Linked DNA regions of Elephas maximus indicus. The protein of the gene in region 1 purifies or fractionates together with the protein of each later gene. This does not show direct contact. Links are inferred from orthologs where the notes say so. Each region holds a gene or a part of one and is shown on either strand. Other genes may lie near its edges.

Region 1 (7,371 bases):
AGGGTGATGAGAACGTTTTGGAAACAAACTGGTTATGATAGCACAACACCATGAGTGTGATTAATGCCACTGAACTGTTGTTGTTAGGTGCCTTCCAGTCAGTTCTGACTCATAGCAACCCTGCATACCACAGAATGAAACACTGCCCGGTCCTGTGCCATCCTCACAACTACTGTTATGCTTGAGCCCACTGAGCAGCCACTGTGTCAATCCATCTCATTGAGGGTCTTCTTCTTTTCCTCTGACCCTCTATTCTACCAAGCATGATGTCCTTTTCCAGGGACTGATCCCTCCTGGCAACATGTCCAAAGTATGTAAGATGCAGTCTCGCCAACCCTGCTTCTAAGGAGCATTCTGGTTGTACTTCTTCCAAGACAGGTTTGTTTGCTCTTTTTGCAGTCCATGGTATATCCAATATTGTTTGCCAACACCACAATTCAAAGGCGTCAATTCTTCTTTGGTCTTCCTTATTCATTGTCCAGCTTTGGCATGCATATGTTGCGACTGAAAATACCATGGCCTGGGTACTCTTGACAAATTTTATGTTGTGTATATTTTATTCCGATAAAAAACAGAGGGCTGAGGGGAAAGGAAAACTTTTTAAGGAGAATAAAACCAGGCAAACCAGGTACTTGGGTGTGGGGCTAACCACCAATGCAGTAAATACGGAGCACCTGTTTTAGGTGTTGAGGCTACCGTGGTGAACAGGGCAGACCCAGTCCTTAGTACTTACTTTTAGTGGAATTTCTAGCACACTCTCTCTGTAGTCATGCTACCCGCACACTGCCATGAAGTCGATTCTGACTCACAGCGACTTCAGAGGATTTTCAAGGCTGTAAATCTCTATGGAAGCAGACTGCCATGTCTTTCTCCCACGGAGCTGCTGGTGGTTTCAAACCACCAACCTTTTGGTTAGCAGTCAATCGCTTTAACCACTGCACCAGCAGGGCTCCTTTGTCATGCTAGAGTTGACACCACATTATTAGTAGATTACTGAATTATGTGGTTCAAATAAGTGATGGTACCAGGCCCTGGTGGCCCGAGATGTCCTCGTCCATGGTGAAGAAGCAGATCTGACCCCCGAACTGGCCTGATGGAGCCTCCCTCCCATAGCCAGTGCAAGGCAGACGCTGCCAGTATTTGCCTCTCTGACTCTCCCTCCCTACACTTCTGTGGTTGATCAGGTGTCCTCCCAGTAGGCACATGCCTTCCTTAGAGAAGGCAATAGCTTCCAGCAGATCTAAGTTACACCCAGTAAGCTTGGGCTTTCTGTGTTGAGGGGTGAGCTGTGGGAAGGCTTGGTGTATTCTTCCTAAGTGGGAATCAGCCAATCATCTTGGTCCTGTCCTTTGGAGAGTTCACATGGTATGTGTGTGACAGGGTGGGACAGATTACAGATATGCCTGTGTTGAGACTGAGGCACCCTAGTAGCATAATTAAGCCTAGTTTAGCACTCTCTGCTGGCTGAAAGGTCAGTAGTTCAAACCCACCAGCCACTCCGAGGAAGAAAGAGGAAACCCTATGGGGTAGTTCTATTCTGCTTTATAAGGTCACTATGACTAAAGATGACTGAAGAGAAGTCAATGCCTTCGAATTACGGTGTTGGCAAAGAATATTGAATACACCATGAACTGCCAGAAGAACGAACAAATCTGTCTTGGAAGAAGTACAGCCAGAGTGCTCCTTAGAAGCAAGGATGGTGAGACTTCATCTCATGTACTTTGGGTGTGTTATCAGGAGGGACCAGACCCTGGTCAAGTAGAGGGTCAGTGAAAAAGAGGAAGACCCTCAACAAGATGGATTGACACAGTGGCTGCAACAATAGGCTCAAACATAGCAACGATTGTGAGGATGGCACAAGACCGGGCAGTGTTTCATTCTGTTGTATGTAGGGTTGCTGTGAGTCGGAGCTGACTCGACAGCACCTAACAGCACGAAGTAAGTGAAAATCAACTTGACAGCAACTGGTTTGGGTTTGGTTGGTGCTGAGACTATTTGGCTGGTCAGAAAGTCTCCATTGGGTTCTGACCCCTTGGGAAGCTCGGCTAGAGCCAGACTTGCAGGAGATTTGTCATTTTGCCAGCATCCATGTCCAGGGAAAAGACCAAGGCCCCACAAGGTCAGTTCCACAGAAGCAAGGATCAGAGATACCATGTTAATATATATTTATATTTACATAGTCTTTGTCTTTTTAAATGAGGTCCCTCACTCCTACATACTTTGGCCATGTTATCAGGAGGGATCAGTCCCTGGAGAAGGGCATCATTCTTGGTAAAGTAGAAGGTCAGTGAAAAAGAGGAAGACCCTCAATGAGATGGACTGACACAGTGGCTGCAACAATGGACCCAAGCATAGCAACGATCATGAGGACGGCACAGGACTAGACAGTGTCTTGTTCTGTTGTACACATGATTGCTATCAGTCAAAACCAACTTGACGGCACCTAACAACGACAACCCTTAATATAGAAGAGCATATAAAATGTGGCCCCAAACCCCTCTGCCCAGGAGGTCTCTGCTGACCACCTCTTACTTTTCATGGTGTCCATGATGTGGCGCTGTTGGAAGCTGGTTAGTTTGGATTCCTTCATCATCACTGCAAGATAAAGCATCTCTATGAGGCCTACTGGGCTGCAGGCAGATGCCTTCACCCCACCTTATTTAAATTAAAATTTGTACCTCCTCCATTCTGCACCTGAACACTCTGCTCTCCCTTCCCTGTTTCATCTTTTCGGTGGCGCTTGTCACCATTTAAGCTCCAGATACTTAACTTATTGATTTGTTGTTACCCTCTTGCTAGATTAGCTACATTAGGACAAGAATTTTTGTTGTTTTTCCCCCATTTTGTTAACTGCCATATTCCCAGCGCCTAAAACAGTGTCTAAAGCACATATAAACCAAAAACAACCCAGCTGCCATCAAGTTTGTTCTGACTCATGAGCTGCAGAGGAGAACTATGCTCCAGAGGGTTTTCTAATCTGTCAGCTTTTGGAAGCAGATCGCCAGGCCTTTCTTCTGAGATACCTCTGAGTGGGTTTGAACTGCCTACCTTTTGGTTAGTAATCAAGTGCTTCACTATTTGTGCGACTCAGGGACTTCTACAGCACGCAGTACCAAACCCATTGCCGTCAAGTCAATTTCGACTCACAGCGACCCCATAGGACAGAACAGAACTGCCCCACAGGGTTTCCAAGGAGTGGCTGGTGGATTCGAACTGCCGACATTTTGGTCTCTTTAAAAAATTGTTGAGTGAATGTACGAGCAAGTATTCATTAAGCCAGGAGCTGGAGCTCCAACAGTGAGCCGAAACAGGCACGATCCCTGCCCTGATGGAGGTAATGATCTAGAGAGAGATGAACATTAATCTAACGGATACAGCTAGATATCTGACAACAGGTTGGGCTATGCACAATGAAGACAAAGGTATTTGATGATGTGAGGGCAGTAACAGGTGCTTCTGTTGTGGTGGTATTGGGGGGGGGGTTCCCTGAGGAAGTTGCAAGTGTGATCTGAAGAATGCACAGGAGTTACCTACTCAAAAATTCTTAGCTCTTTGACTTTTGGCTACCGGCTAGCTGTAGGGCAGACTTCCCATCTGTAAAATGAAAATCGCCATTACTAAGCCACAGGTCATGTAGGGGAGAACTGAGTTACAGAGGTTAACAGTTACCACCACTTGTCTCTTCGTGTCCTTCAAACACTGACCTCTGAGCAGTTCGCAGGTCCCCGGGGTGTAAGCGGCTGGCTGGGGGCAGCGCCAGAACCCCGTTCTTTTGGTTACTGCCCCCAGCCTCTCCTGGGAAGTCATGGGAGGGCCCTGAGTAGGGAAAGACACAATGAAACACATCCCCTGTCTCCTAGTCCCAGTCTCTGTTTCCTTGCCCCCAACCCCACCCAAAGTCTGGGAGAGTAGGTGGAGGATCTGGGTGGCAGGAGAATCGTGATGACTCTAGTAAATATCGCGACAGTGCCCGATCCCGACCCTGACACACACACACACACAGAGTCCTCATTGGGACCCAGCGCCTGTGGCAGGGAAGTCCCCTCGGGAGAAAGGGAGCGTTAAAATCGCCGTGGTCACGGCAGTACCCATGGGGTGATGTGCCAGTTGAAATCTCACCCTAAAGGAAGACGTGTCTGGGTGCCCCCTCCCTGCGGAGAGCGGCGGGTAAGCTCCCGGAGACGGACACCACGACTCTGCAGGAGCACCCGACGCAGAAGCCCCCCAGAAATATTTTGCGATCTCTGCGACTGGAGCCGGCACCTAGCGGCTCTGGCTACCATGGTAACGTGCGTAAGCCATTCGGCGCATGAGCATTGACTCACTGGCCAGCCTCCCGGAAGTGATTGCCTCTGGGTCACGGCGCAGGCGCAGGGTACGGGTGGCCGCGCGAGGCCGAGGCGCGCTGCTTGTGTGTTCTTGTGCGGCCGTGGAGTGCAGAGCGGGGTCTGTGCAGCGGTGACGTTATGTCAGACAACGAGGACAAGTGAGTGCAGGAGCGGAGTGGCCTTTGCGGGAACCTAGGGAGGGACGGAAGCGAAGGCATGGGTCGGAAGAGACTGAGAAGTCTGGGGGCTAGGGGCAGTGTCCGAGGGGACGGGGATACTGGGGGCCTGGGGACTAGGGGCAGTGTCTGAAGGGACGGGGATACTGGGGGCCTGAGGACTAGGGGCAGTGTCCGAGGGGATAGGGATACTGGGGCCCTGGGGGCTAGGGGCAGTGTCCGAGGGGACGGGGATACTGGGGGCCTGGGGACTAGGGGCAGTGTCCGAGGGGACGGGGATACTGGGGCCCTGGGGACTAGGGGCAGTGTCCAAGGGGACGGGGATACTGGGTCCCTGGGGACTAGGGGCAATGTCCGAGGGGATGGGGATACTGGGACCCTGGGGGCTAGGGGCAGTGTCCGAGGGGACGGGGATACTGGGTCCCTGGGGGCTAGGGGCAGTGTCCGAGGGAACGGGGATACTGGGGTCCTGGGGGCTAGGGGCAGTGTCCGAGGGGACGGGGATACTGGGGGTTAGGGGCAGTGTCCGAGGGGACGGGGATACTGGGGCCCTGGGGACTAGGGGCAGTGTCCAAGGGGACGGGGATACTGGGTCCCTGGGGGCTAGGGGCAGTGTCCGAGGGGACGGGGATACTGGGGCCCTGGGGGCTAGGGGCAGTGTCCGAGGGGATGGGGATATTGGGGTCCTGGGGGCTAGGGACAGTGTTTGAGGGGACAGGGATACTGGGGGCTTGAGTTGGAAGAGACTGAGGAGCTAGGGTCTAGGGACAGTGTCTGAGGGGACAGGGGATACTGAGGGATTGGCAGAGCTGCAGAAGGGAAGGGCCGAAAACCAGGAGCACAGACCAGGCCGGAGGGTAGACACAGAAAGGCCCAGGCTTGGGGGACCTTATTCAGTGAATAAGGTGTCTTTCAACAGACTGCCACTGAGTTGGGCTCTGTGCCTTGTACTGGGAATATGAGGTGAATTAGGCACAGTCCCTGTCTGCAGGCGACTACTTTCTAGGAGATGAAACTGGCCCATGAAGAGATAATATGGGGTAGCAGTAGAAGTATGTAGCAGGGAATAATCCGGAGGGGCGAGGCTGGTGAGACCTCACAGAGGTGGTGAAGGGCTATGAAATGTGACTAAGAATTGGCCTGGTGGACAAGGCAGAGAGCCTTGCAAGTAGAGAAAACAATGTATCCTAAAGAACAGAGACATGACAAGGTGTGATGTGGGGGGAATTTGGGAAACCAGCTTGTGTTCTGAAAGCAAAACATGTCAGGAAGGGGCAGCTGAGAGACAATAAAGACCAGATGATTGAGGGCGGTTGTGCCTTTTTAAAGACTTTATTCTTGATCCTTGAGGTGAAGGGGACATTGAGTTGTTTTAAGCAGTGGGGCGACACAGTTAGGTTTTCTTTTTAGAAGAGATACTTTGCATACATTGTGATGAGTGGATTTGGAGAGTCGGATTGGAAAAGAAAGACCAGTTAGGAAGTTGTTGCAAAATTATAAACTGGGAAAGGATGGAGACCTGAATTTAGATTATGACCATGGAATAGGGAGGAGGGTGCAGAGAGATTTTAGGAGATGGAGTTGACAGGACTTGGTGATAGGATGTGGGTGCAAAGGAGAGATGGAGGTTGAGCATTTTCTAGCTTGAGGAACTGGGGTGGTTCTTCCAGCCATGATAGAGAACCTGGAAGAAAGAGCGGATTGTTATTATCTTCTTTGGGTGTGGTAGGATGATCCCAAGATCAAGAATAGTGGTGAAGAGGGCAGATGTGAGAGACTGAGGTCACGAAGTCTGTTTTATCCATGTCATATTGAATTTGACTGAATTGGGTTATTTATTAAACAAATATTTATGTGTCAGGCTCTATTCCAGAAGCTTGGAATGAATTGGGGAAGGGGTGGGCGAAGCACGGTGGTAACAGGCTAAGTAAGTAAATGTGTGTTAGGAGGTGGAAAGTAGTATGGTAAAAATAGAGAGCTGGGGGCAGGACTGTAGGTTTCAGTTTTAAATAGGAAAGTTACTAGAGAGAAGGCTTTGTGGAGATGATGTCATTTGAACAAAGAGTTGAAGGAGGTGAAGGTGTTAGCCACTGGGCAGATGGGACAGCTAGAGCAAAGGCTCTAAGGTAGGAGTATGCCTGGAGTGTGTGCAGAACAGTCAGGAGGCCAACAGTGTGGCTCCTGCAAGGGGAGGGTGGTAGAGGATGAGGTCAGGGAAGTGATAGGAGGCCAAATTATATAAGCTTGTGGACCACTGTTAGGACTTGGCTTTAACTCTGATTGAAATGGGGAGCCATCAAAAAGTTGTGACCAGAGAAGTGATAGGATTTTAGGTTTCATAAGGATCACTCTGGCTACTGTGTTGGTAATAGACTGTAGGGAGTCAAAGATAGAAGCAGGGAGTTTAGTTGGGAAGTTATTGCAGTAATCTAGGTGAGAAAAGGTAGTAGCTTGAACTGGGGTGATAGTAGAGGTGGTGAGAAGTGGTTGGATTCTGGATGTATTTTGAAGGTAGAGCCAAGAGGATTTTATCATGGATTGAATGTGTGGGGTAGAGAAGAGGATTCTGAAGAGAAAAATATGGGAGTTGTCAGCAAATATATATGATTCAAAGCTAAGAAATAGGTGAGATCACCAGGAGGGTAGGTGTCAGGAGAGGATACAGCCAGTGACTGAGTGTTAGAGCTTTCCAAACATGAGTGCTTGGAGGAAGAGGTTGTTGTTAGGTGCCATTGAGTTGGTTCCAAATCAGCGACCCTGTGTACAACAGAACAAAACACTCCCTGGTCCTGTGCCATCCTCACATTCGTTGCTGTGTTTGAGCCCATTGTTGCAGCCACCGTGTAGGTCCATCTCATTGAGGGTCT
Region 2 (7,495 bases), on another chromosome or scaffold:
TCACAGTATTTATCACAGTTTGTTATTCTATATTTACGTGATTATTTGATTAATGCACATCTCCTATACTAAAGTCCCGTAACAGCAGGGGTCACGCTGGTTTTTTCATTATTATATACCACAACTTCTGCACATACCAATCACTTGATGAATACTCGATTCATGCATTCATTTAAAAATGACGAAGAGTCCACAGTTAGGACAAATCACAATTTGAAAAGTCAAAATTCCTTACCTATCAAGCTCAGTTTAGGAACTAGGTACATGTCCTTTTCATTAATGACAAGAGTGGGAGCAGGTGGCGGTGGCCCAGGGTCTGAATTCTCAGTGGCAGGTACCAAGGGACAGCGCTGCACAAAGTGTGTGTCTGCCAGTCGCACAAAAGTGTTTGATACCTCAGCATAATCCATGGTCTTGCCATCTGTACAACAGGAGCAAAGGGGCAGATTAGACGGTCTAAGATAGCTAAGGGTCTGCTCCTGCAGCCCCATAATCTAAGCTTTGGCTAGCAGCTGTGGATACAGTACTGACCCTCCATTGTCTCTGTGAGCCGGTCTGCCACTTTCTTCACGACAGCTGACATTGTCATTTTGCCATTCAACAGCAGCTCCTCAACAATTAGCTCTCCAGTGTCACTGTACAGCGTTTTGGAAGTATAGATGTACCGGGGATACCTCAGCATTCGTAATACCCGGCTGCACTGGGCTTCATACTCCACCACACCACGTTTGTGTACTTGGTATGTCACCAGGTTATGTTGGATAAGGACACAAAGGGCTTTTTTAACCTAGGTAGAACCCAAAGAAAGAGAGACCTGAAGACATAGCTCAATATTGCTGGCAATTTTTGTCCAACGGTTTTCTAAGCACCAGGAGATAGCTGGAGAGGAATCTCTGTGCTGCTTCTCTCTCCCCTGGAGTAGTTAATAAGAACCACATGTCAATGGAAGAAATCTGGACAATTCCTTCCTGATGCTTCTATTCCCTCTGATTCTTTCAAAGTACAATTTGCTCTCTCTCTCTCATTCCTTAAAGGTAGTACTGAGATTAATAGAATCATAGTAAACAAATGAGGCATGGAATGGGAAGAGGAATGACTTGCCTAAGAAGCCACAATGAACTAGGAACATTTTGAAAAGCAGGACCTTGGGGCTTAAGTCCCATTCTCTTTCCCCCAAACAACATGGTTCTGATTCTAGGGCAGGTTTCCTCCCTTTTCCATTTTCTTGGGTGGGCAGTAACAATATTTAAAGGTAGGTGACAGAAGTGTACATTAATGCTATTTAAACATACCTGATCCAGTGATGTTCCTGTGTCATGGGCAATTACTCTTAGTGGTTGGCTACCAGTTCTGATTAGGTGGACTCCAATTTTTTCTACGATCTCTCCAAAATGCTCTTGCAGCAACAAAGAACACAGCTTAATTTCTGCTTGGGTCATTGTACTTGAGGGGCTTCAGAGCTAGGAAAAAAAGTATATGATGGGAAATTTTGCTTTTATGTTGCGTGTAGAGCGTGTTTACTGTAGACTTGCTGAGTATAAATTCACGTACTCTTTCTGGAGGGTGATGTAGCAATATATTTCAAAAGTCTTAAAATCTTGCACACTTTTGGCCCAGCAATTTCATTGTGAGTACTCTGTCCCCAGGAAATAATAAAAACACGTCACTGTAGTTCTCGTTAAAATACTAGAAACAATCTAGTATCCTAGCAATAAGGACTCAGTTCAATAAATTATGGTATCTCCATACGATAGAATACTATACCCACATTTAAAACGACATATAGTATGTATGTGTTAACAAAAAAGTTGTTCATAATGTATTAAGTGAAAAAAGCAAGTTACAAAGCAAAACGTGGAGTAAAATTGAATTATTGTAAAAACAAACAAAAAACACGTATGCATAGAAAACAAGGCTAGAATGTGTACAGCATCAAATTTATCTTTATGAGATTATGTACGATGAAAAATTTTTTTTTAAGTTTGGCTGTAGATGGTTTTGTGATCTGTCACAGACCTTAGATTCTATTGCTTGGAAGAAGTGAGTGTTCACAGCCCACTAGGAGTGACCAGGCAGTGTCAGTCCCAGTTGGTTAAGGAAAATGAAATTAGGAGGTAGAGCTTCTTAACAGGACAGGGTCCTTCAAACAGGAGATGAAGTATGCTGTTTACAGGGCAGTATTTAATTATGAAATTTCTACTCCTTGACAAAATAGACACAAACCAAAATGGACATAGCTAATTATACGATTAAACCACTTGCACTGGAGTCATTCTGGCTCATGGCAACCCCACGTGTGTTAGGGTAGAACCGCGCTCCGTAGGGTTTTCAACGGCTGATTTTTCGAAGTGGATCACCAGGCCTTTCTAAGGAAATGCCTCTGGGTGGATTCGAATCTTCAACCTTAATGCTTAACTGTTTGCAAAACCCAGGTACTCTTTTTAGGGTTACTTCCTTATGATCACAAACCCAACCAAAACCCACTGCCGTCGGGTCGATTCCGACTCATAGCGACCCTATAAGACAGAGTAGAACCGCCCCATAGAGTTTCCAAGGAGTGCCTGGCGGATTCGAACTGCCGACCTTTTGGTTAGCAGCCGTACCACTTAACCACTACGCCACCAGAGTTTCCTTTTGATCACAAGCTGCTACGAAATACTGGTTGATTCGTGTAGTCCTCCCAACCCCTCAGAATCCAAGTGTTTGTCTCCCAGCCTCAGCGTCGCCAGAGACCTATTTCACCCATCCACATGTCTTTGGAAAAGCATCCCCAGGCCCTTAGCCATCCTCGAAGAGGATTCCTAAGGAGCTTGGCTCCAGCATCTCCACTCCCTTCACGCAGGTTCGCGTTCCGAACTTGGTCTCTTGATCCAGAGCCAAGGCCGCTTCGTTCATACGGCATTTCCCACTAACCTCAGGGTCAATGCAATCCGGGGGCTCCAAACCTAACACCTCGAGTTCATCCCAACGACTTCGCGCGGCTCCCACTAGCCTCCCGGGCAGAGGGAGAGCCCACAGCCCTTTCTCGCAAGAAGACCAACACCCCGGAGAACCAGGAAGCGGTAAAATTGGGGGCCGCTCTACCCCAGAGTTTCAGTGGTTTCCGAGACGCTCTTTCTTTCTTCTCGCTGGAAGGTTGGAGGACCGACGAGGGGCTGTTTGAGGACCCGGCGGGGCGGGCCGCGGCTGGGGGACTCTCTTGCGCCTTTTTGGTGCTGGGGGCGGGCCGCGGGGTCGCGGGCCGCGCCGGCGCCGTCTGGCTGAGCCCAGCGGACTCACGTGACCGACGCGGACTCGGGAGCCGCGGGTCGCACAGAGGAGGCAGCGGTGGCAGCGGCAGCGGCAGCGGAGGCGGCGGCCGTAGCTGGCTAGCAGCGGCCTGGCGAGGGACCGGCCGGCTGCCGTGTCCGCCAGCCGCGGCGGAGGAGGAAAATGGCGGAGGCCTCGGCGGCCGGGACTGCTGTAGCCGCGCACCGGTTTTTCTGCCACTTTTGCAAGGGCGAGGTTAGCCCGAAACTACCGGTAAGAACGCGGTGTCCTCTGCGCTCGGGCACCTGCATGGATTCCTCCTCCCGATAGCCCGGAAACAGGTCTTAAGCTTCCTGCACTGCCCTGATTCCGCTGACTCGGTCCCCGAATACCTGCTGCCCACCGTCTCCGGTCGTTTGTCCCAAGCCCCGGGCGCCGCGGCCCGTATTTTTCTCCTCGGATGCTCCATTTGCCCCTTATTCCATTTCCTGTCTTTACCTGACCCCCTCCTCTTTTTGTCTTCCTTAGCAGCTTCTCCTCTGACAACTCTTCTCCCAATTTTCTTGCACTCTTCATCTTGTCTCCTTCCCACGATGACCTCTCTTCCTCCCCCACCCCATTCTCCTTTGCGCTTTTGCTTCTCACCTTCCCCTATTTCCTTCTCCACTTTTCAGCAGCTCCCTCCTCCCCCTTGTCCCTTCTCCTCCTCGGTGAAGTTGAATAGCGGATTGCTGATGATTGTCACTATTCGGTTGTCTCTAAGGAAGGAAGGAAGAAAGCACGGAAAGGGAGTATTGGAAAGTAAACATAGGGAGAAGAGGGCGATTTTGCTATTCAGTGGTTTCCAGGGTTTTTGCGAAAGTGAAAACAGCAGTGAACTAATGACTTGCAGACTTCCTGAGCTCCCTATCACTTTGGAAGAGAATGGCTTAAGGAAGGAGGCGGAACATATTGTTTCAACTTGGTTTATTTTAGTTGTGATGTTGCCAGTGTCACCTTCCTCACCCACTTCCCTTACTTAAAAAGAAAAAAGATTTAGGACAAAATGTTGGGGACTGCATCCTCTGATACAAAATTGGTTTCACCAGTTTCTGCCAGACTGTTAGCCTCCTAGAGAGGTAGTTCACTGGTTTTGAGGAAAACGCTTTTGCGGCATGCTAATCAGCTCCAGCACCCCAAACCTGAAGCTGTTTTGGGTTGGGTATAGCTGCTGGGGGGAGACCCACCAGGGCGAATGTTAGTTCTACACTTGACCAGCTGTTTTTAGAATTACTTATGGTTGTTCCTTTCCTTAAAAGTCTTTAGGTTTAGTGTTAAGACAGGGTAGCTACGCAAGATAACCTGTGTATTATCTCAGATGCAATCTATGAGAAAGCCTACTGAAGTGTGTCTGCGCGTCTTCTTCTTTCATAGAAACACAAATGGAGTCCAGTGAATAAGCGCCTAAAGGATATTTCTTGCCTTTTCATCTGAAAGTTGTGCTTTTTAAGGCTTTTCCAGCGTTTTTCTTTTCTATCTGCCTACCCCCAATTTCATAGTCATAATTTCATCTAAATGCTACTTAGGTTTGGTTTCTGATTTGGCTGTATGTGTGTGTGTGTGTTTGCTATATTTTAGTGCTGGCAAGAGCAGGTGCCTTGTTTTTTCCCAGCAGACATCAAGAGTTCCCAGAACTCTCACTGAGGGGGTCTGAATGCAGCTAGTAGTGAATAGTGACATGTTGTTGAATGTGATGCCTTATTGAACACTGCAGTCTGAAGCTCTTCTGATCTTTGAGACACTGCTGGTCCTTGCTTTTAAGAATGAGAAAACTTAGTCCAAACCTCCACAATTTAGTATATCTTTTCGTCTTACCACCTGAAGTCCTCACTTCAAAATGCCCTCGGAAAAGTATAACTTGAAAGGCTTTTTAGGTGTTTTTCTAAGCCTTAGAAGCCTGAAGGAGAATTTTTGATATTTCCAAAGTCTGGTTTATTATCTGTCTTGCCCTATTTATAAATTGAAGCCTGACATGGTTAAATATAACTGAATACTTTTTATGTGCATAGAAGGCTCTACTGGATGTTTTGGAGGTGATATGGAAGACTATATGGTCCCTGCCCTTAAAGACCTCCCAATCTTGTTGAGAAGACAAGACAAACATGAGAAAAATAATGTGAGGTGAATGACAATGGATAGTTTGTGAGAGAGCAGGGTGTGGGACAAAGAACTAAGTTTGACCTTTTGTATCTGGTTCTGAAAATAGCCTGAGCAGTTAAGGTGCTCTTTGCCTTTCTAAAATAGCCAGGCAAGTAGGGGCTGTACAGGCCCCATATCTAGCAAACCAAACTGACTTCAAGAAGGGAGGGGGAAGTGATGCAGTCATGCGTATTCGTTGAGGTCCCAATGACTAAGGTACTCTGGGCCTTGAAATCCCTTTTCGGGGGGCTTCCAGGATCAGTCGGAACATCCACGCAGGGGAGAGGGTGAGTGAGGTTTGTGCCTGGGGACAGTGGATCTTGTCTGATGTGTCTCTTTGCTTGTATCCTTTCTGGTTATAATAAATGGGTAGCTGTAAGTATAGGTAATGTTGTCATTGTTGTTAGGAGCTGTCCAGTAGATTCCAAGTCATAGTGTCCCCATGTGCTATAGAGCAAAACACTGCCAAGTCCTGTGCCATCCTCACAATTGTTGCTCTTGGAGCCCGTTGCTGTAGCCACTGAGTCAATCCGTCTTTTAGAGGGTCTTTCTCTTTTTCACTGACCCTCTTCTTTACCAAGCATGATGTCCTTCTCCAGGGACTGATCCCTCCTGATAACATGTCCAGAGTACCTGAGACAGGTCTTGCCATCCTTGCTTCTGAGGAGTATTCTGGCTGTATTTCTTCCAAGACAGATTTATTTGTTCTTCTGGCAATCCATGGTATATTCAATACTCTTTATGAACACCATAAGTATAGGTAATAAAATAGTCTCTGCAAATTTTGTGGGTTCGAACTGCTGACTTTTGCTAGCAGCTGAACGCTTTAACCACTGGACCACCAGGGCTGCTCGCTATGCATTAGGCATGCGGTGTTTGCTGAACTGGATGAATGTCATGAGAAACCTGGGTGTCTCTCTGAGGATAGCCAGATGCTGCTTATCTTATCATGAATAAAATATTTCTTTGTTATGACTGAATTTGCATCTCAAGAGGGTACTGACTTTTTGTGTGTTAGTTGGATGACAAGGTCACCCATGGCTTTAGGCCTCTCAGAACAACAACTGAAACTAAACCCACAGCCTTCAGGTCGATTTCAACTTACAGTGACCCTATAGGACAGAGTAAAACTGCCCAATCAGGTTTCCAAGGAAGCAAACTGCCACATCGTTTTCCCGTGGTTCGTAGCCGAGCGCTTTAACCACTGCACCACCAGGGCTCCTTTTCTCAGAACACCAGAGGCTGGGTATTTACATTAACTTTCAATGAACTACTGCTAGGAAGTTTTCTTCACCCAATCAGTGAGAAGGACTGCTTCACAGCTGTTTTATCTTTTACTGTTTATCCACCAACAGAGCCATGTTCAGTGGGGCTAGGTTGAAAGGTTTTCCACTATTCCCTTATTTTCTCTTCCCAATCTTTGGATACAGCACTTCTTGATATATTTGGAAGTGTGTGCAGACAGTAGCAGTAGCAGTAGCTTACCCAAGGTTCAACTCAGAAACTAAGTTTTAGTTTATTGTTTTTCTTGTCAGTTCTGCTACTCTGAAAGATTCATGGACCCAGCTAACTTTAGTGTCTGTGTTAAGAGAAATAGTTTTGGCTATAACTTTTGAGAGCTTGGAGCATGCGTAATGCTGTGTAGGTTAAACTACATGTAGGTTGAGTTTATTTGATTTGATGAAATAATATTCCTTACTGCTAATCCTAAGGAGCCCTGGTGGTGCAGTGGTTAAGTGCTCAACTGCGAACCTAAAGGTTAGCGGTTCAAACCCACCAGCTGCTCCTCGGGTGGAAGATTCCCTCCCCCTCAGAAAAACAAACCTATTGCCATCGAGTGGATTCCCACTCCTAGCGACCCTACAGGACAGAGTAGAATTGCCCCATAGGGTTTCCAAGGAGCACCTGGTGGATTCGATCTGCCGACCTTTCGGTTAGACCCTGTAGCTCTTAACCACTACACCACCAGGATTTCTTCCGTAAAGATTACAGCCTTGGAAACCCTATGGGGCAGTTCTACTCTCTCCAGTAGGGTCACTGTGAGTCAGAATTGGGTTATGGGTATTGC
Region 3 (7,087 bases), on another chromosome or scaffold:
TTAACATGGTACAACCAAACCCATTGCCATACAGTTGATTCTCACTAATAGCGACCCTATAGAACAGAGTAGAACTGCCCCACAGGGTCTCTAAGGAGCGGCAGGTGGATTCAAACTGCTGACCTTTTGCTTAGCAGCCAAGCTCTTAAGCACTGCCACCACCAGGGCTCCATATTGTACAACAGTGGTTCCCAAACCCTAAATGCACAGGAGTCACCTGTGCAATCTTGTTAAAGTGCAGATTAATTCTGCGTTTCTAACAAGCTTCCAGGTGATGCAAATGCTGCTGGTCTATGAGCCACACTTTGAGTAGCAAGGCCATAGACCGCGACCCTATATAAGGAGAGGCCAGGGCACTTCTCTCAAGAATGACATTTGACTTTGTGTAGCCACTCCCGCCTCTTTGTCATCCCATAACTATGATTTAACTGTTCATGTGGTCATTCAACCCATCAACACTTACAGAGAATCTGCTATCTGCAAACCCTCTGCCAATTCATTTCAACCAACATCTTTGAGTTCCGGTCCTTGTGTGAGGCTCTCAGGATTAATCACGATTAAGACCCTTTCCTTTCTGTCACACATTCAACATTAACTGAGGGTCTACTCTGTGCCAGGCACTGGTCCAGGAGCTGCAGCTACAGCAGCGAACAAACAGGCATAAATCTTTTTATTGCTTAACCCCCAAATTATTTTTATTGTTTTAGTATTTATTGTTAACCCCAAATAAATTTAGCGAGGGAACAATCAGGTGGGAAACAGGCAAATAATTAGAACTAAGCTTATTTTTTCCTCTTCTTCCCTCACTGCGCCCCCCCCCCCCCCAATAAATCTAAAAGCCATCAAGAGGAGTCAAGCAAAGGTAGATTTCCACTCAGAGCAGAAGGAGAGCCTGCAGTGGTCTAGAACAGGGGTGCTGGAGCCTAAGGAGTGTGAAAAGGCATCCATGTGGAAGGGTGGCCAGGTAAAGAGTGTCTGAGCCCAGCTAGGTGTCTCAGTTATCTAGTGTTACTATGAAAGAAATACGACAAGTGGATGGCTTTAACAAACAGAAATCTATTCTCTCATAGTTTAGGAGGCTAGAAGTCTGAATTCAGGGTGCCAGCTCCAAGGGAAGGCTTTCTCTCTCTGTTGGCTCTGGGTGAAGGTCCTTGTCATCAATCTTCCCGTGAGTCTAGTACCTTCTCAGCACAGGGACCCCAGGTCCGAAGGATGTACTCCACTCCAGGCTCTTCTTTCTTGGTGGTTTCTTGCTCATTTCTCTCTTTTGTATCTCATAAGAGATTGACTCAAGATACAAACTAATCCTGTAGATTGTATCCTGCCTAATTAACATAACTGCTTTTAATCCTGCCTCATTATCATAGAGGTTAGGATTATCAACACATAGGTTAATTATATCAGATCACAAAACAAAGGACAACCTCACAATACTGGAAATCATGGCCTAGCCAAGTTGACGCACATTTTTGGGGGACACAATTCAATCTGTGGCACTGGGCAGGGGTGCAGCTTGGCTGGGGTTATCAGAGTCTGAGCAAAGTGAAGAGGGGATTCATGCAGGTGGTGGAATGGCGTTGGTAATGGCCCAGTACAGGGTGTTAGAGCCTGAATGAAGTAAGAAGGGCATCCATGTCAGGTGGTGGTGGTGGTCATGGTGGTGGCAGGAGATGATTACTTACAGAGGATTGATCAAATAAGTGAATGTATTAAGGCTAACTGGAACCAGGTTTCTCAGCGTGAGAGAAAAAAACAAAAACAAAAAACCATTGCCGTCAGGTCGATTGCGACTCATAGTGAACCTATAGGACAGAGTAGAACTGCCCATAGAGTTTCCAAGGAGCACCTGGTGAATTTGAATGGCTGACCTTTTGGTTAGCAGCTGTAGCTCTTAACCACTATGCCAAGGGAGTTACAAATATGAGACGAAAGAAAACTAGAATGAACCCTTGTGGTGTTGGATTAGAATCAGAGGTCAGTGTGAACTCATGATTTTCAGTATATATATACAGATCTAGAAATAAATACAGTTGTAAGCATTAATACATGTATTTCCTAATTTGGCCAACCAAGAGGGCCTGGGAGCAGTGGCATGCCAAAAGCAAAATATATCTAACACACAGATCTTTGTTTCTAAATTCTATTTCTCAGCAAAAATGTCTTAGAGAAATTTCTTACGGCAAAAATTTCTTAGAGAAATAGCTGATTGCAGGGTTGGGGCAGGGAAAGTACAAGATGAACTGGGATACTTTGTTGTGCCAGGAGGTAGGGATATGCTCTAAAACTGATGGGGCATGTCAAAAGGACACAGCAGGCAACTCGAAGGGATTTCCAATGGCACGATCTGGAAACATTTCAACACAGAAACAAATAATGATAACAGCAGATTTTAATCTACTGAATAAGATAGGAACCAACAAGTCCAAACTGACATAAATTAATAAACTGAAAATGTGATGAATGAGACACTTGCATAGTCAGTCTCTAAGTACCTTCCACAAAATACTAACTACAAAGGGACAAAGAATAACTTCGTGGTGGAGATGTCTGGTTGACACTACCTTAATCAAGTGATCAAAGTTAGTATCACTAGTAATGGAGTAAATCGAAATTATGTGCCACCTGATAGAATACAAGAAGAACACAAATAGTTCTGCCAAAGATGTATAATCTGAAACTAATCATTTGGAAACATTAGATCATTTAGAAACCCAGAGGGAAGTTTTACAAATCACTGGCCTGTGATCATTAAAATGGTCAAAGTTATGAAAGTCAAAGAAAGACTGAGCAACTGTTTCAGATTATAAGAGACTAAAGAGCTATAACAACTAAATGCACCACGTGATTGTGGACAGGATCCTTTCCCTACGAACAAAGTTAGTGCGACCAATGGTTAATTTACATGGAGTGTGAGGATTACATGGAAGTAATGCATCCATGTTAATTGTCTGGTTTTGATGACTGCATTGTATTTAGGGAATGTGTTTGTCAGTAGGAAATACTATACAGTCTTCAGAGGCAATGGAATTCAGGTTGGCAGCTTACTCTAAAATGATCAGGGCAAAAAAAAAAAATTACTCATACTTGCTCGCAATATTTCTGTAAATTTGCGATTGGGTCATTATAAAAATGTGGCAACTGCTCAGGTAAAGGGAAGCTGAAGTGCTAGGTTTTTTTTGGAGGAGATTGGGTGTCTGTGTAGGGGGTGACAGGGGTGCTAGGGACGGCTTCTTAAGGCTGAAACCTGAACATAGTCTTGAAAGAAGGCGCTTTGGAGAACCGAGAAGAGCCAATCCGAGTTCTTGCCCTTCAACAGTACCGTCTTTTGACTGGCAAGAGGAACCCCTGGCCTGGGTCCATGCTTTAGAGGCCCTGCTCTGGTAACTTCCCTCGGGGAGCGGGGTGGAATCCTCAGGGCCAAGGGGACATGCCCATCAGGTCCACCTCCCCTCTTAGGACACAACCAAGAATTCCCTGCCCAAAAGCTCTGAGCCTGTTCGCATTTCCCCCTGATCCTAGTGTATGCTCTCCTAGCTCATGGGGGAGGTGCTGGCGGGGTTGTGGACGCAGCTTGGACTAAAGGACTGGGAGCCCACATGTGTAGATGGCAACTCTTAGAGAGTGGGTAGCTCTCCGCCAGCTGCCACATTTAGTTGTAGCTGGAGGAGGTCCAGTAGGAGAATCCTAAGTTTGAACCTAGTTTTTCAGGTCTCAGGAAGATATATTTGTCAATGTAGAAGAAATAGATCATACTTTATCCAGACCATGCTGAGCAGCTGGAAACCAAACACGAAGCACAGACTGAAGCTGCAGACGTTTGGGCGCCCTCAGCCCTAGTCCCACAAAACCAGTATAGTGCAGGGGTACGGTGTGCCGGAGACCACACCTGTCAGCGCCGAGCTGCTGCGCTGAGTGGCCGGGGCAGCACGCCGAGCTGCTGCGCTGAGTGGCCGGGGCAGCGCGCCGACACGCTCCGGGGAGGAGCGTGCAGGGGGGAGGGCGATGTCAGGAGGGGGCGGAAACACGCGTCTCCGAGCGCGCGGGGCGGTGCCTCACGAGGCCACGCCCTTCCGGTTCGGCGCACTAGGCGGGATACCACGTGTGACCTAATGCACCCGGTAGTCCAGGCTAGTTCAGCTTCGAGTTGTGGCCGCTAGAGGGGCGAGATGGCGGCGGAGGTGTTGCCGAGTGCGAGGTGGCTGTACTGTGGGGAGCCCGACGGTAGCCAGAGAGCTGTACTCGGTAAAGACTGCGGAGCTGGAGCGGAGTTCCCTTTATCCCACTTCCGTCTCTTGGTACCTCTCCAGTCTCCCGCGCCCCGCCTGGCCCCCCTCCCACCTGGGCCAGTATCCCTCTAGTCTCTACTCATTGGGGCTCATTCAGGGCTTCAACGTCATCCTGCCACCCTGTCACCACTCCCAGCTGGATGGGGACATCCCTGCCACACCCTCCCCAGGGCCGTGCCCAGGACCCTTTAGTCCCCTCATCCACCATCTCTCCTATCTGCCCCATTTCCCTCTCTCCTCTGGGTAGAGAGCCCCTTTGTTTTTCTAGAACTGGACCAGACCTCCTCTGTAACCTCTATCCTCCCAGTCATTCCCTCCTGTCACAGGCTCTCCCGGGGGCTCCTCTCACCTGTTCATCCCTTCTCAACTGGGTCAGGACTTCCTTCCCCATCTCCATTCTTCGAATCACTTCCAGTGACTCCCCGTTTCCTCTTCACATACACTGTGGGTCCCCTTCTCATTCTGCTCTTGGCTGCAACCTTACAGTCCAGTTCTCCAATGGAAAGCTGCAGAATCCAGGCAACATGCACTTTACCTTGTACAAGAATAAAGACTCCACAAACCCCAGGAAGAGGAGTCAGCGAATCTTAGTAAGTCATGGTTGCCAATTACCTCCACTCTGCAGACCTCAGGAGGTCCCTTGGGTGTGGGTGGCTGTGAAGGGAGTGAGGGAGGAAAAAAGGGGGGCAGCAAATGGGCCTTTAAAGAACTATTCCTCCCCCCGCCCCACAGCTGGTGTGGGGCAGGCTTGGCCATCCAGGTTTGGAACTTTTGGAGAAGTGATGACGGTTAATTCATTTGTTAATTCAACAAGCATTTACTGAGCACCTGCCGTGGCCCTGTGCTGTAACCTGTTGGGGGTAAAGCCAAACTAGACCTGGTGCCGCTCTGAGGGAGCTCATACTCTAGAACAGGGTTTCTCAACTGCAGCACTATTGACATTTGGGGCCAGATAATCCTTTGTTGTGGGCAGCTGTCCTGTGCATCACAGGATATTTAGCAGCATTCCTGGTCTCTACCCACTAGATGCCAGTAATACTCTTCCCCGCCCCCAACCCCCAGTTGTGACAATCAAAAATGTCAAACATTGCCAAATGTCCCACTGGGGTGGGGGACAAAATTGTCCTGGGTTGAGAGCCTCTGCTCTGGAGGGAGAGGTGAGAATTGGATGTGAGGGACACTCATACAAGTAGACAAAGCTCAAGGCCTAAGGGAGAGAGTACAGGGCAGAGTGAGCTCAGAAAGGGGAGAACTCTCTGCTTGCCAGAATGCCTTTTTGGAAGAGGGTTCACTGGAGCTGAGCCCTGAAGGATGGGGGTAGGAGAGACTGTCAGGTGAGATTTGATATTCCAGGTGAAGAGGATAGCAAGAACTAGTGCTTGACTGTGATTGGGGTGTGAATTAACCATTTCCGTGGTCCTAAGAGTACGTAAAGAGTAGTCATGGTAGAAGTGAACAAAAAGGATAAAAGAGAATTTGGATTCCAGGCCAAGGAGGTTGCCTGCAGAATCACCTTGTTGCATGCCTATGTATATGTGTTGGGAGCCCAGGGCCTTTCCCCCAAGTCCTGTGGTGCACCTCGGCCAGGAACCTTTAATATGGTTAGAACTCAGCACCTTCTGGGGCTTACCTTTCAAAAGTCCTCTTGCCCTTTCCCCAGGGGTACCCCAGATTCACTTAGAGATAGTGGGGCTGTACCACCTCCCAGTGGCTCTCTAGTTCTAATCCACTGTGGTTCTGCATTCTAAAGCTTTTGCAAATGTATAAAAAGGAGACAAGATACTTAGTACCTTTTGACATTAAGTGGAGCTTTTTTCCCTTCTATATTTTAGGCAGCTGAAACAGACAGACTTTCCTATGTGGGGAACAATTTTGGGACCGGAGCCCTCAAATGCAACACTTTGTGCAGGTAGTGATGGGGACGGGCAGCATTAAAGGTAATGGGGAGGGTAGAGGTGGTGCCACTGGCATTTTTGTTATCAGTCTTTATCATAGGGGCAGTGGGAGAACGTAGGGAGGTTAACAAGTCCCTGTGTTCCTGGACCCAGGGATCCTCATACCAGCCTGTTAATATTCCTGAAAAAGAGAGATGACTTCTATTTGTTAAAAATTCTTAAACCGTGTTAATTTGTAATATTCTTTATATCTGTCTTATTCCAATTGACAGCTGTCTCTACAAATTTGGAATGTGTGATTAGTAGACCAGACCTTGCCTGAAGTTTGCCTTGGAACTAACTACAAGAAAAGGATTTAGTAGTGTTGAAGGCTCTGGGCTGGGAAGGAGGGGCCCAGGGTTTCCATCTAGCTCCGTGGTAGTTGACTGAGCGACACTGGAGAACTCTGCCTTTCACTGACCCTTGTCCTCCCTCTCTGTACAGTGAAGATTGTCCAGCTGAAACAGGCTACAATTCTCAGGGGCTGGCATAATGCAGATGGGGTCCCTGTGATGCTACCCAACCCATAAAAAAACCTGTTGCCGTCGAGTCGATTCCTATTCATAGCGACCCTATAGAACAGTAGGACTGCCCCATAGAGTTTCCAAGGAGCGCCTATTGGATTTCAACTGCCAGCCTTTTGGTTAGCATCTATAGTTCTTAACCACTACGCCTCCAGGGTTTCCTTACAGTGAACCACAAACAAGGCCCTGTCTGAACTCCCACTAGACCACATCCTGATACAAGTCAGATTAATGCACATATGCTTAAAAGTATTAACACGCTGCATCCCCTCACAAAGATTCTCTAATTCAGAGTGGTCTTCTCCCCATAATCAGTATGGTTTTACTCATATGTGCCTCCGTA

What was found. The genes of interacting proteins can lie anywhere in the genome.
Region 2: the proteins of POLR2F (region 1) and POLR3C purify together in Homo sapiens (affinity purification with mass spectrometry; 3 studies listed by BioGRID and IntAct, with this or other methods). This does not show direct contact. The link is inferred for Elephas maximus indicus from reciprocal best matches to the Homo sapiens genes POLR2F and POLR3C.
Region 3: the proteins of POLR2F (region 1) and POLR1E purify together in Homo sapiens (affinity purification with mass spectrometry; 4 studies listed by BioGRID and IntAct, with this or other methods). This does not show direct contact. The link is inferred for Elephas maximus indicus from reciprocal best matches to the Homo sapiens genes POLR2F and POLR1E.

Annotation. Positions count from the first base shown.
Region 1 is NC_064822.1:181,847,494-181,854,864, forward strand, and holds the start of POLR2F (DNA-directed RNA polymerases I, II, and III subunit RPABC2), read left to right. Parts: upstream 1-4,349; 5' UTR 4,350-4,466; coding exon 4,467-4,486; intron 4,487-7,371. Other genes in the region: C4H22orf23 (UPF0193 protein EVG1), read right to left, coding at 2,533-2,595, 3,705-3,807. UniProt on the Homo sapiens protein: DNA-dependent RNA polymerase catalyzes the transcription of DNA into RNA using the four ribonucleoside triphosphates as substrates.
Region 2 is NC_064821.1:157,754,249-157,761,743, forward strand, and holds the start of POLR3C (DNA-directed RNA polymerase III subunit RPC3), read right to left. Parts: upstream 3,004-7,495; 5' UTR 2,914-3,003; intron 1,637-2,913; exon of another isoform or gene 1,552-1,636; intron 1,461-1,551; 5' UTR 1,440-1,460; coding exon 1,293-1,439; intron 788-1,292; coding exon 532-787; intron 422-531; coding exon 236-421; intron 1-235. Other genes in the region: E3 ubiquitin-protein ligase RNF115, read left to right, coding at 3,433-3,522. UniProt on the Homo sapiens protein: DNA-dependent RNA polymerase catalyzes the transcription of DNA into RNA using the four ribonucleoside triphosphates as substrates.
Region 3 is NC_064827.1:46,344,208-46,351,294, forward strand, and holds the start of POLR1E (DNA-directed RNA polymerase I subunit RPA49), read left to right. Parts: upstream 1-4,084; 5' UTR 4,085-4,166; coding exon 4,167-4,242; intron 4,243-4,772; coding exon 4,773-4,876; intron 4,877-6,118; coding exon 6,119-6,195; intron 6,196-7,087. UniProt on the Homo sapiens protein: Component of RNA polymerase I (Pol I), a DNA-dependent RNA polymerase which synthesizes ribosomal RNA precursors using the four ribonucleoside triphosphates as substrates.